Linked DNA regions of Caenorhabditis elegans. The protein of the gene in region 1 interacts with the protein of each later gene in a pairwise test. Each region holds a gene or a part of one and is shown on either strand. Other genes may lie near its edges.

Region 1 (7,565 bases):
AAAATTAGACAAAAGTAGGTCTTCGAACGATTTCATAATTTGGAATATCTCACAGACAGTGCCACTTAGCAAAATTTAACGCTTTTAAAAATAAACAAGGAAGAAAAAAGAAACCCAGAAGCTAGTTTTTTCGAAATTTATAATTTCATCATGTATTCCCAGAATCTTTCTCAAGCTTTGCATACGGAACTAAAATTCAAAGCGAGTTTCCATTGATAAGAAAACCTTGTTTATATTAACAGGAAAGCCAGGATGTTGCAAAATATCAGATTCAACTTGCAAACAATTATATTTTGTAATACTGTTGTGGTCATTGTGGTTTGTGGTTAAATCAGCAAGCATCAAAATGTCAAAAAAATAGCCAAACTGTTGAATAAAACTTATTGAAAAATATTTTAAATAGATTACGGCTTAAAATTTAGATACAGTGAAGCACTTCGAAGCTTGTTAATTTTGGCCTGTAAACAGTCCGTAAAATTTGTTTCAAAGTGGATTTTTTTGATAGTTTAATAGGTTTAAATCTGAAAAGACACACTGGAAGACTTTAAAATATTTTGGAAAGATAAACTTGAAAAAAATTGACTTTTTCAAAGAAATAGAATTTTTCAAGAACATTCAAAGTTGCCAAAATTCTGCAAAAATTGGCTCGCTGTTAAAAATTTTTTAAAGCAATCTATTCTGAACAAGTTTCTCCAAATGATATTTGAAATTTTTTATCGCTAGTTTTCTTGTTTATTTTTTTTAGCTAGTTTTCTTACAGGCGTTTTGTCGAATTGCGTCGGACTTGGTCTCATCCATAACGAAGGATTCGACAAGCACTCATTTGACGACTTTGTTGTTTATCATTATCAGTATTCGAGGCACTCGGCGAAATATTTGGAATCGCTATGGCAAAACTCTAAAATGATATTGTGAAGTCCTCTTGTTTCACCAATTTTTTCTACTTTTTTGTCACGTGTCATCCAGCCATATGTTCTTTTTCTCTCAATTATTTTGAATTTCTGCGAATCTTTTTTAAAACTCGCTTTAAATTTTGTTTCTTTATTGTCTTCATGTTTCCGACGTCTCATATGTTCCAAAATATTTTATGTCCATAATATAACAAATGAATCCACATCAGGTTATATCAGTCACCGCGGTTCTTAATTTTGTTCTTCTATAACGAGTGTGTGAATAATTATATCGTATAAATCAGATATAGGCAGTTTGCAAAAAAACATAGTCGCTGACCAGCTTTTTGTAGGATATTAGATAAGCTCTTTCAAAAGTTTGGCGGAAAAATAAAATGAAAAGCAAAGTAGATCCTTATATCGTATAAATCAGACGTAGGCGGTTCGAAAAAAAAACATAATCGCTGGCCAGTTTTTTGTAGGATATGGTACTTTTTTTTCCAAAACCTTGCCGGACAGAGAAAATAAGAAGCAAAGTAGATGCTAGGATGATCCAAGAAGGTAGGCGTTTTGATAAACGATGGCCAGGTAGTCCCGCCCATTTTGATAAGAAATCGCTTGGATATTTAAACTGGATGCTTCACCACTTAATTTCATTCTAATTCATAAGTTTTTTCTTTTTTTTTCTCCACTTCTTTAATATTTTTTGAAAGATCATTTTCTTGCCACTTCTACAATTATCTATTCTAATATTATAGTCTTGAATTTGTTCAGATACAATGAGGTTTTCTTTACTTGCACTAGTTTTGTTGTCTTCTAGCTATAAATTCACATATGGATCGGAGTGCGGAGATTCAACAATTCCATATAGTTTAGAGGTAAGAGAAAAAGAAATGTAATAAAAATAATCAAAGCTTTTACAAAAACACCCGCTAAATGTTATTTTGGCCTAAACTACATAGAAAAACAGAGTACGGGTTCTAGGTTTATTTCTCTAATACTATTTTTAGCTAAAGTTAGCCGTTTTTTTTTTTGAAATTTTGGTACTATTGTAGTATACCATTTATTTATTTCAAAAAATGATAAATAATATAAAACTAACTTGCACTTTCAAGCTTCAAAAAACATTAATCCTGAGCCTAATATGGACAAAAAGGGTTACGGATGTTCACTTTAAAAAATGGCGTATATTTTTAGTCCAGGTATACTTCACAAGTACCCAAGTAATTTTATAAGTAGTTGACAGTACAGTTCAAGTACAGTACAGTACAAGTACAAGTAATTTGAACCAATATGAAACATTTTTGCATATTTTTCATTAAATAGTGTACTACGCCTAATGTCACAAACGCGACTCAATTTACAAAGCTTAGAGTTATATAATGAAACGTGTGTATGAAGTGTTAATTGTGATTCATAATTATTAATCACTTGTAGTAAAATGAATTAAATTATCCCTTATTATTATAAGATATTCATTATAGAAAGTTTATCACCATAGTAGTACTTAAATTTAACGTGATACCCATTTAACTTGTTAGGCTGAGGAATGGCGTTTTCCTAAGCCTGAATTTTCACACGTTTTTTTTATAGGTTAAAACATTAATTTTTAAAATGGCGGGGTATAATACACACCATACCGATTTTGACATTTTTAAAACTTATAAAACATTCAACTTTCTGCAATCGTTTACACATAATAGTTATAAACATTCCGCCAAAGCATACTTAACATGACAAATTACCCTACTTATTCTAGGTGCTTTCATCTGGTCAACCGATTCTCGGATGCGCAAGACCAACTTGTTTTGGATGGCATTCAAATGGCCACCAACTTCCAACCAACGCCAAATTCTTCCGAATCGATCAACAATCGGACGGCTTCCTACGTGATGATCCTTTGGCTATTCATACATTTGATGCGGCCGACCCGAGAGTTTACGCGCAGCAGCAAGCAGTGAGTGATAGAGAATGAAAGGGAAAAGCTAATTGAAAAATGATGAGAAAATGAATGAAACATCATAGCAGGTTTTTATGACCCATATGTAGAATCAAAGAAAAAAGGAGATCAGTAAAAAGATGAAAAAGTTATTTTATTAATGAAATATTTCAGAGCTGTGAACAAGAATTCCAATCATTATCATGCAACCCAGAGGACCAATGGGTTGGAGGAATTGCACCAGTCATGAATGCATCTACCACCAAAATGTAAGCACTAGACCAGACTTAAAGGTGGAGTAGCGCCAGTGGGGAAATTGTTAAAAACCACTCCTTTGGTCCCAAAATGACCAAATATCATGATAAAACTTTTCAAAAAATTGGGCAGATAGCTCAGTCGGTAGTGGTGGCCGCTAGCAGTCTGGAGGTCACGAGTTCAAGTCCGGCCTCACCCCTAGGTTCACCCAGCCTCTATTGGGAAGTGGAGCAATCCACGACTGGATTATCGGCCACAGTCCCCGGCTAGGACGTGGCTTAAATTACAGCCCAGAAAGATCACCACCAGGCAGTGTACCTGAATCCCAGGTCCGCAGTGCATAGCACTTGAAGAACGGATCGTCCTTTAATCCTTTGATTTAACTGTCAACAAGTGGCAATTACTCATAATTTTGGAAGTAGACTAAAAAACAAATTTTTTTCGACATGTTTTATGTTTTAATTTTGTTCAAATTATTTGTATTAAAACATTGTAGGGGTCAAAAAATACCGTATTTCTTCAAATTTTCTCAAAAGCTCGTATTTTTCAAAATTTTGGCAATTTTCCAAAACTTTGACCAGAAATTATGAAAAATCTAAAAATTTTTGGAGTTTTTTATTATGATATTAGGTTGTTTTGGATCATTATAAGTGCCTTTAGACAAAATCCCCACTGGCGCTACTCCACCTTTAAGTTCTGAAAATTTTGCAACCTATTTCGCTTCAGTGTTGCCTACAAGTGCTGCACCTACGCTCCATTGCGTGCATCGATAGATCGAGGCGTGGCAACTGTGTCTGGCGGACAAATTGTTGTTGGAGGAGAGATATTCGCAGATAATAAGCCTTATGCATTCGACTATATTAGCAATGTAGAGAAGAAGATTGATTCCGAAGGAGAAATCTTTTACGAAGTTAATATTAAAAGATTCTCATGCTTGGATCTTCAGAAAGTTGATCGATCAGTCCGTAAGTAATATTGGGGTGAAACAAAACAACAGAATTGTAGTCAAAACGAAAAAATTGACTTGTTTTAAAAAACACTCTAAATTTCAGCTGAAATCTTAAACTCTGAGAACACGATTCGCCACGTCAACGGGCATCGATTTGTCGTTCACCAAGCTCCAACTGTAGATGTGGAGACCCCAGTTGAGACTGGACAGCTTGTGGTCCCACAAGGTGTTCAGAATGGACAAGAAGTGATTATTGAGGAAATTGTCGCTCAAGAAGGATTTGTTCAAGAAACAAACCCTCAACCACCACCACCACCAGGACAGCAAGGAGGATTTGTTCAACCACAAGGTTTCCAGCCACAGGGGGGATTCCAGCCACAAGGATTTCAGCCGCAGGGATTCCAGCCACAGGCATTCCAACCTCAAGTGGTCCAAAATCCAGTGGTAAGAAAAGCATACTGTTTTTTTTTGGATAACTAGCTTTCCATTTTTATTTTTCAGTTCTGTTAATTTAATAATCTAATTAATTAAATAACTTAATAATTTATTAATTTCATTTATACTTCTTAATATTAAAGGTGGAGTAGCGCCAGTGGGGAAAATGTAAAAACTATCAAAATGACCGAATATCATAATAAACCTTTTAAAATTTTTTAAAAAATGTTTTATCTATTGCCAAAAGGTAACAATTACTCAGCTTTTCCCACTCGGAATTTTGGAAGTCGACCAAAAAATAATTTTTTCCCCTACATTTTTCTATACTCTAATTTTGTTTTAATTATTTGTATTAAAACATTGTAGGGGTCGGACTTGCGACATTGCTTTGTATTTCCTGAAAAGCTCATATTTTCCAAAATTCTGGCATTTGTCAAGTCCTTGACAGGAAATTATGAAAAATCTGAAAATTATTTTTTGGTCGTTTTGGATCATTATAAGTGTAATCATACAATTCCACTCTTAAAGGTGAAGTAGCGCCAGTGGGGATTTTGTCTAAATCCACTTATAATGATCCAAAACAACCAAATGTCATAATAAAACACTCCAAAAAATTTTTCATAATTTCCGGTCAAAGTGTTGGCAAATTGTCAACATTTTGAAAAATACGAGCTTTAGAGCAAATTTAAAGAAATGTTGCATGCTTCGACCCCTACAATGTTTCAATACAATGAATTCAAACAAAATTAGAACATGAAAAAGTCGAAAAAAATTTTTTTTTCCGGTCGACTTCCAAAATTATGAGTGGAAAAACTGAGTAATTGCCACTTTTTGACATTAAATTAAAAATTTTCAAAAATGTTTTGAAATGTTTTATCATGATATTTGGTCATTTTAGGACCAAAGGAGTGGTTTTTAACAATTTCCCCACTGGCGCTAATCCACCTTTAATATTTAAAAAATTGTGTTACAATAAAATAAGTTCATGAATTGTATTATTATCACCCTTCGCTCTCTCATTCCATTAACCAATATAATCAGCAAACTATTTTTTTCATAATTAATATAATAATTTTCCGAACTTCATTTATTTTTCCAGCCTGCTGCACCAGCTGGATATGCTCCAATGGGATTCGCACCTTCTGGATTACGTAAGTTTTTACACCTTAATAATAATTCCCAACCCACATTTCAGAATTGTATTATTGCTTCCCTGGAGACGCTATGGTCAATGTTTATAATGGAGGATTCAAACGTATGGATGAGCTCGCAGTGGGAGACTGGGTTCAGGCTCTCGACAAGAATGGCTCTCAAGTAACATTTATCCCGGTTCAATACTGGCTTCATCGTGATCCAAAACAAGTTGCAGATTTTGTAGAGTAATACCTTTGGTTTGAGCATTCCGTTTTAACAATACAAATTACAGATTCACACTTGACAACGGAGAGACATTCTCATTGACCGAGAAGCATTTGGTCTTTGTAACTCAATGTTCTGTGCCCTATTCTGAGGATGAGAATATAAATGCAAACCCAGTACCAGCTGAGAGAGTAAACATTGGAGACTGTTTCTACATTGCACACCGCAAGGTAATATCAGATTTTCGATATATGAAAACATTTTGTAACTGAACAGCAAAATTTTCAGAAGTCCCAAATGTATCAACGCGTAAAAGTTCTTGACATCAATATTGTGCAAAAAACTGGAATCTACTCGCCAATGACGTCACGTGGCCATCTCCTGGTAGACCGTATTCATGCATCTTGCCACTCCGAAACCGACAATTACAGCCTTCAAAACACTTTCTTCACTGTTAGTAGAGTTCCCTATTTTACGGTAAATTTCAAATTACTATTACAGAATGTTCTCCGATGGAAGTCACAAATCCGCAACTACTTCTGGACTGTTGAGGATAGCACAAATGAGGATAACATTGGTTACGGTCTTAACGGAGTTATGGCTGTGTTGGATATTGTAATTCCATCAAAGTTGATGTAGATCCTATTAATAATTGTGGACAGAACCGTTGTACAAAATCCTCTATCAAAAATCTCAAATAGGTCAACCAATTTCACACTTTTTCATTCATTTTTTACAATTCAATTGTTGCCTAATTAATTAATTAATTAATTATTTATTTACTTCCAACATCTATGACATTTTGTTTGTTTCAGTTACATTGATTCAATAAACATTTTGTTAGCTCAAAAATTACGACGTTCAATTTTATTTAGTCATTGCAATTTTTTAAAACAGTACAAAACAAGCATCTCAATTCAGTTAAAGACATGATAATTTCTATAAAAATTATGAGTTTTTATACTTGCTTAAGAATGTGGGTTTATGACGGCCCTCGTCTGTTGTTTTGCACCAACTGGTACAACTGTTTGATTCGCTGCTGACGCAAAGTTTGATCCATCGAATTTCAAAAATCGTTTAAGCATTCGACGCGTGCTTCCGGTTTCCAAATAGTAAACGAAAAAAGTCATGGGTGGAATTGACTCGTAGCGGATGTAAAAATAACTTTTATGCACCAAATCCGGAAGGCCTGCGTAGAATGTCTGCAAAAATGATAATATTTTTTTAAACTCATGTTTTAAATTAAACGTGTTACCGGAAAAACTCTGATTAATAATGCTCCTAGTTCATAAATTGAGAGGTAGACCGCCACTGAAACGGTTTGCCGCATCATGATGAGATCACGCCTGGCTTGAAGTTTTGAAAGAGTTGTGTTTTGAAGTGGTACTGCGAATGGAGTTATCGTCTTATGTTTACTGAACACTTTCTTGATCATTTCGTATGTGCCTTCGCGTTTGAAGCGGAGATGTAAAATTATTCCAATATTGACAAACATACAGGATAACGGCAAAATAATAGAATATTTATTTTGAAATACAGTTATCTGAAATTTATCAACTTGCAAGCTGTAAGTAGGCTCATGTAATAGTGTTGTTCCCGGTCGCGTAAAATGAATGGGCCGAACCGGGGATTGAACCCGGGACCTCTCGCACCCAAAGCGAGAATCATACCACTAGACCATTCGGCCATGCTAAGACATCCTCGCAGATTTGGCCATGATTTCATCATTCAGCTATCT
Region 2 (3,741 bases), on another chromosome or scaffold:
AATATAAATTTATCAAAAATTCTGAAATTTCGTTCAATTTTCATAAAAATCAAAATACAAAACTATATTTTTGTGAAACATTTTGTTTTTTGATAATTTTCTAATTTTCTTTAACGAAATCCAATATATAAAAATGAGTCGAAAACAAAGAAACATATTGGAAAGTAATAGGAAATGGAGGTGATGAAGGACATAAGAGATTTTAGAAAATTGAGAGTTGAGCTAATTTAACTTTTGAACGCAAATATTGATATTGAAGAATCACTAAAACAATATTTCAACTGGGTACCAATAAACTCGATAAACTGGCCGAGAAGAGAAAAAGACAAGGCCATTCAGACTCGGCCATCGTTTCCAAACAGCTGTTCGGGACACTCTATACATAAGAGACGGCAGAGAAAGAAACAGTTTCTGTGTGTCTTGTCGGGCATCATTGAAAGAGAGACAAGAAGGATGCTCGCAAGTATTGAATCTGTTTTCATGGGAAAAATTAATGAAAAAACTCAGATAAACTATTTTGATCTATCTTTTGAAATTCTTTTGAAAATAAATATATGTTGAGTTCAACTGGTAGATCAAAATGCTTTTTTTGTAAAATAGGTTCACAATCGTTCAATTAAATAGTAACAAAACATTTTCGTTGGGGAAATAGGGTGTTTTTTTTTTTAATATTTTAGTATTCTATTTCAAAGCTTGGAAGTGTTTTGATTATATTTCTACTATCTGAAAATGTTTGCAATTCAGTTAACTTTTTCTGTTATAGTAAGCCTATTTCTTGAGATTATCTGAACTAGGATAACATGCTTCTCTGAAAACATCCTTCGATTGAAAAAAGTTATGAGAATAAAATAATTTATTTTCTTCAACAACACAAATCACAAATAATAATGTGAAATTAGTTTCTGTATCCTTGGTTTCCAGAGACAGCGGCGTTGGTGTTTCTCTGTGGGCATGGACAATATTGAGCATCTTGTCCTGGCTCTCCTTCCTCTCCTGGACTTCCAGCGGCTCCATTTGGTCCATCATCTCCCTTCTCTCCCTGTGGTCCACGCTCTCCTGGTGGTCCAGCAATTCCAGTTGCTCCACGATCTCCTTGCTCTCCTTGATCTCCAGACTCTCCTGGTGCTCCTGGAGTTCCCTTGGCTCCTGGAAGTCCGATTTGGTGTTCAACATCGGCTCCTGGCTCTCCAGTTGGTCCTTCTTCTCCAGCGGCTCCTGGTGGTCCAATTGGTCCCAAAGATCCGGGCATTCCTGGGGATCCGTCTCTTCCTGGCATAGCGGCTTGTCCACGGGCTCCACGCATTCCACGGGCTCCTGGCTTTCCTTGGGATCCTGGTGGTCCTTGTGGTCCAGCTGGGCAAGTGAAGCATCCATCGTATTGTTGAGTCTGAGCCTTGGCATCATCAGCATCTTCTCCGTCAACTCCTGGAACTCCTGGAATTCCATCTGGTCCATCATGTCCTGGAGTTCCCTTTGGTCCGGCTGGTCCAGCTGGGCATGAGTTTTCGGTGTTGCAATTGCACTTGTCTCCTGGTCCAGCTGTAAATGTTCAATTTATATAAGATCTTTGGACTATTTTTTCTATACTTACCAGATGGGGATCCATCTGGGTTGATTGGGCTTCCTCCTGGATGTCCAGTAACTGATGGTGGAACTCCAATAACTCCTGGAAGAGTTGGGGTGTTCGATGATCCAGTATTTCCTGGGAAGTGTCCTTGTGGGCCTCCTGGGAATCCACCGTGTGGTCCAGATGGTCCGGATGGTCCAGATGGTCCGCTACCGTATCCACCATATCCACCGTATCCTCCGGCTTGACGACGGACACGTCCGAACTTCTGCATATCCATGTAGATTTGATCGGACTCGAGACGCCATGCCTCCATTTCAGTCGTCAACTCGTCCCGGAGCATCGAGACTTGCTGATAGACTTGTGGGACAAGAGAGACGCAGAGAAGCATCGAAACGGCACCGAGGGTGCACGCGGCATATCCCGCGAACACTGACATGATCTGGAAAACATGTTTATTCTAGAATTTGCGCGTAATCTGAATTGCCAAGAAATACGGTATCCGGGATAAAAATTGCAAAAATTCGTATCAGCGAATAAATATCGTCAAAATAAACAAAGATGGAAAATGTTTTGATAAAAGTGTCCATTTCTCCTCTCTCAGGGACCCTTTTATACTCATAAACTCCCTCGCACAAGGACAAAGGACTACTGTATGCGAGACTCCGCCCCCTCATATGACCGATATGATAATCATCTCGAATATTATGCATAATTGTCCGTTATCTCCGATATGATGACCTAGATTTGAGAAGGGGATTTTTCGGGTCGAAGGACCTGTTTTTAATATTCATACAATAGAAGGAGGAAGAAGAATATAAGAAATTTTATAAATTAAAAATAAATAAAAGTCAACTATTGAAATTGAAAGAAATCGGGAAAGAATTGAAGAAAATATTGAAAAAGGAAGTTTTTTGATTCAAAAATATTTAGTTTTCCCAATTCTTAAATTTATGACGGAGGGGGAGCCGGTGGTGGTGGTACACTGAATGTTGCATGATAATCCGTTCCAGTTACAGCTGAAGCTTCACCTTCTGCAGGAGCAGTACCGTAGTATTGATTGTAGTATTGACTGCCATCTTCTTGGTAATATGTCGATGCATCTTGGCTGAAAATAGGTAATTATTTTTGAATAAAAATACAATTCAAACAATTAAAAAAGTGATTTTCCTTACCCTTCATGTCCATAATATGAATCTCCATTTTGCCCATATCCTTGTTGATCGTATCCTTCACCGTAGTGTTGCTGATTATATTCTCCATATCCTTCTTGACTGAAACGTTTATTAAATTTAATTAATTTCATTTTAAAATATTTAATTTTATTACCTTCCATAATAATCCTCTTGTCCTTGATAATGTCCATCGTAACCACGTTCTCCATATGTTTGTGAATCATAATCTTGTCCATATCCACTTGTTCCTTGATACGATCGATCGCTGAAATCGAGATTTTGAAAAATTGAAATTTTTTTGGGGTTTCGAAACGCGAATAGTCACAAATACTTTTTTATGTTTAATTGAAGGCTTCGAGAAGTTTTTGACAAACTGCCTCAAAGTCGTGAAGTGTCGATCGGCATTATTTGAGTCAGTTTTAGAGCAAATTTTCGAAAATTTCAATTGAAAGTAAAGTTACTTTCCGAGATAGCTGAGAAAAAGGGGCTTTCGTATACTTTCTCAATGTGTTTTATATCTCTGCTCATTGCTGAACTCACTAATCATCATATCGATCACGTCGCCCAGATTTTTGCGGAGGACCACCATAATCTCTTCCACCATCACGGCCACCGCCTCGGCCACCACCACCACCTCCTCGCTGGAATTCATCTCCTGAAAAATAAAGCGTTATTTAAAAATATTTAAAAAAAAACATAAGGATTTCGAATTTTCGTGGAATAAAGGTTGAATAAACTTACTTCTTCGTTTTCTTTCTCTTTCCTTAACACCTCCTCTCGCTCCTCTTCTTTGCTTATCACCCATTCGATCCCCTCCAGGTGGCCGATCGATTCCAGGCATTCCAGATCCTGGTGGTCTATCAACTCCGCGCCTTCCACCTCCTGGTGGCCGATCTACTCCAGGAATTCCTCCACCTCCAGGTGGTCGATCAACACCACGAGAATCACCTCCAGGTGGGCGATCGATTCCACGAGATCCTCTGCCTGGCGCCCGATCAA
Region 3 (3,137 bases), 1.2 Mb from region 1:
AAGCACAAACTCTATAAACTAATTTAAAAGTGCAAGTTTAGGGCATATGGGCGAGTTATTTGTCATCTTGCCACTTGAAAGAACTCGTTACTGGTTTTCGATTTTTTTTCGAGGAGAACAGAGAGAGAGAGAAAATTTACTTTTTGCGAACGCTGCACAATCTTACCCTGAGACGCTCGAAAGTTACCGTGAACCCCCATAAGCTTTTTTTTGATAAACTTTGGTACTTTCTTGGTACTTTTGTCTGCCTCAGCTGTTCTTCGCAATTTTTTTTGTCAAAATTACACACTTTTCTGATCTTCTTTGTTTACCGCTTTGCACTTTTTTACTTCCCGCGGACCACCCGATGAAAGATCAGCCGGGACTTGTAGATTTTTTCACACTTTTATCTCACTGGATCTCTTGAAAATTCTATCGTTAAAAAGCAAAAAGCAATTTGGACGAAAAAGTCAGAATATAGGTGGCCCGTTGAGAGACGGCTAAACCGTTCAACAGCGATACGATCTGCGCGATAAAATTGTGAGAAGCAGTGTGAAACGCTATGAAAACCATGCTTTCTTAAAATTTGGGTGGGAAAGGGGCATCAGCAGCATGCGGGGCATATTAGGAAGCCAAAAAGTTTCCGAATCTGAATATTTATTCCAGTTGCGGGCCAAAAATTGAGAAAAGCTTTCAAAAATGCAACTGTACTGTTATCTTATAGGAAATTTCGAATTAAAAAATATTTAATTAAAATTTCAAAAAGTTACTATGCTGTAAGTTGAAGCCTTAAAAATGAACATATGTACAAGTACTTTAAAATCAAAAATTTACTTCAACTCTTGATAGTGCTATGTGTCTGAACTTTTGTTATCTTGTACCGGATTCCACAGAAGTTCTATGAGACCACATCAGCATCTGCCTGATTACTTTTTCAAAAACTGTGCTAAACGTTTTTGTGCACCTGATAAAACAGCCGTTAACTGCTGCTGATAAACTATACGTCTGCCAGTACCACCCACAGCTCCGCCCCCTGCCCCATTATTCAATTTTTCGTGTTCATCACTTCGGCCGCTCCGCAATCGAACAGTTCCATTTTTTCCGAACGAGACGCAGAGAAACACCCTCCATCCTCACCCGCCGTCCGATCACAACGTCCGCCTTTGTCCTTGACAATTGGCTCGTCTCGTTTGGACGGGGTCCTGCCCTCTTCTCCCCTCCACAAGTAGTTCCCCCACCCCATGCCACAGTGGTTTGGTGATGGTGCGGGCCGCCGCCGCCGATCAGGGTGTGTATACGAGTATGTAACTGAGTGTATGAATCTGTGTATGTGTGTGAGTGTGTGTGCACATTCTGCTCGCTTTTTCTCTTTTATTCTGCCTTCCAATTGATAATGCAATTGTGGGGAGGGGGTCAAGGTATAGCAACACATGTTGCCAGATGGTGAGACAAGAAGACTCAGCCATCATTATCAGTAGTTTACAAATGATTTCCTTTTTTTTCCTCATTTCCCTTTCCCCCCTCTCATCCGTGATATATCCTTTTTTGCAGTTGCCATTTGATATTTTGATACTGAATAGCTCTAAACATCAGACCATCTTTCATATGCTTATCAGCTTATTTTTAGCCCCAATCGATCTTTGAGACAAACTGAAACATGTGACCTTTTGTCTCGTGCAGTTTCAAATGTGTCTGCGCTCACGCCCCACTCACCCCACTCACCGTCTTCTTGCTATCAGATTTTCGTACCACTTTCTTTTTTGCAAGGATCCAATTCTCGATTCAATTTCCTTTTTTCGCCTCTTTAACTGTATTTCTTTTCCAGCTTGGGTCCCCCTTCATTCATATTTATCAATTCACAATGGCTCGTCAACCACAGCCGGTTCTGAGCTCTTCTTCGCGAATGCAGTCAGCTCCGATCAACATTGCATACAGTAATCGCGACGATCAACAAGTCTGGAGAGACAACTACTACCGGTGGAATCATCAGCAACAGTTTCAGTTTGATGATGATCAAGATGAAGACGTTCAGCAGAACCATCATTCCGAAAATGCAGAGGATCAGTTCATCATGATGCAAAACGGTTTCTCAGGAGGTGTCATCGAGGAGATCGAACAGACAAGCGAAAACGACAATCAGCCAGATGAGAATGACGTCAACGAACAAATCGGAAACAATGACGAGGCGATAACACAGCAAAAAATTGCCGAGATGAATGATGACCTCTTTGAACAGCTGCTGGCGGAGAACGAGCGCAAGTTACGGCAACTGATCAGCTACGTTGAGAACGTTCATCTTGTACTCAAATGAGTCATTTATCTTTTTCTCTAACAAGGTGAGTTGTTGTTACAAGTAGTATTACTGCATTGGTACACAGTGTCGGCGTTGACAGGCGATTTATGCACAAGAGGGCCTTCCGACATCTAAGTACACTTTGTATTCTGAGACCATGCAAATGGTGGGAGCATACATTATGCAATATTAGTCTAGGAATATTTAATGTAACAAGAGACTTTCCGTATATTTAACATATTTCTTTGATGACGAAAACACTTGTGTAAGCATAGTTCAAATATTTAAACGATTTTTTTCAGTATTCCCCAGTATCTGCATTATATTCGTCAACAATTAAAGCAAAGCCAAAAACATTTCCGTCACTCAACTCAACAATGAAAGAAACCATTGCCAATCACATTTTTCTCCCGTTTTTTGCTTCCCCGTTCTAAATATCCCCGTTCAACTCTTCCCTCTCACTCTTCTCAATTGTATTCTGATACCTCCTGCACTTTGTGAGCGTGTGTGCTCAATGACAAAGTTGACCTCACGGATTCCACCTTCAATTTCTCTTCTATCGGACTCCCGCCGAATCACCTCACATTACCATAATCATTGCACATTGAATAGCTCGTTTCACACAAACCACAATCTTGGGTCGCTTCTTTTTCTCCTTATTTCTTCCACTTTTCACACCCCTTAATTGAATATGATATTTTTTTATGACCATGAGATACATACACTTCCGCATAGTTTCTACGATGATAACTTTTTGTGATTAGCATTTTGTATAGATGTCCATTTCTCCCCCCTCATCCCTCCTATCTTTCCTCCTCAATATGGAAACAAAATACTACAACGATGTAGAAATATAGTTGAACAC

What was found. The genes of interacting proteins can lie anywhere in the genome.
Region 2: the proteins of wrt-4 (region 1) and dpy-17 interact in a two-hybrid assay, tested with the Caenorhabditis elegans proteins (one large-scale study listed by BioGRID).
Region 3: the proteins of wrt-4 (region 1) and M163.1 interact in a two-hybrid assay, tested with the Caenorhabditis elegans proteins (one large-scale study listed by BioGRID).

The regions. Positions count from the first base shown.
Region 1 is NC_003284.9:15,751,369-15,758,933, reverse strand, and holds wrt-4 (Warthog protein 4 N-product), read left to right. Parts: upstream 1-1,664; 5' UTR 1,665-1,669; coding exon 1,670-1,768; intron 1,769-2,649; coding exon 2,650-2,847; intron 2,848-3,003; coding exon 3,004-3,098; intron 3,099-3,810; coding exon 3,811-4,049; intron 4,050-4,136; coding exon 4,137-4,477; intron 4,478-5,567; coding exon 5,568-5,619; intron 5,620-5,663; coding exon 5,664-5,847; intron 5,848-5,894; coding exon 5,895-6,057; intron 6,058-6,115; coding exon 6,116-6,280; intron 6,281-6,328; coding exon 6,329-6,466; 3' UTR 6,467-6,677; downstream 6,678-7,565. Other genes in the region: bus-17 (Hexosyltransferase), read left to right, coding at 761-915; srxa-9 (Serpentine Receptor, class XA), read right to left, coding at 6,796-7,029, 7,083-7,370. UniProt on the Caenorhabditis elegans protein: Intercellular signal essential for a variety of patterning events during development.
Region 2 is NC_003281.10:5,105,598-5,109,338, reverse strand, and holds dpy-17 (Cuticle collagen dpy-17), read right to left. Parts: upstream 2,010-3,741; 5' UTR 2,007-2,009; coding exon 1,592-2,006; intron 1,540-1,591; coding exon 896-1,539; 3' UTR 848-895; downstream 1-847. Other genes in the region: F54D8.6 (C2H2-type domain-containing protein), read right to left, coding at 2,519-2,675, 2,743-2,841, 2,897-3,007, 3,283-3,397, 3,484-3,741. UniProt on the Caenorhabditis elegans protein: Secreted collagen that forms part of the nematode cuticle, which functions as an exoskeleton and a barrier to protect the worm from its environment.
Region 3 is NC_003284.9:14,502,528-14,505,664, reverse strand, and holds M163.1 (uncharacterized protein), read left to right. Parts: upstream 1-1,840; coding exon 1,841-2,290; downstream 2,291-3,137.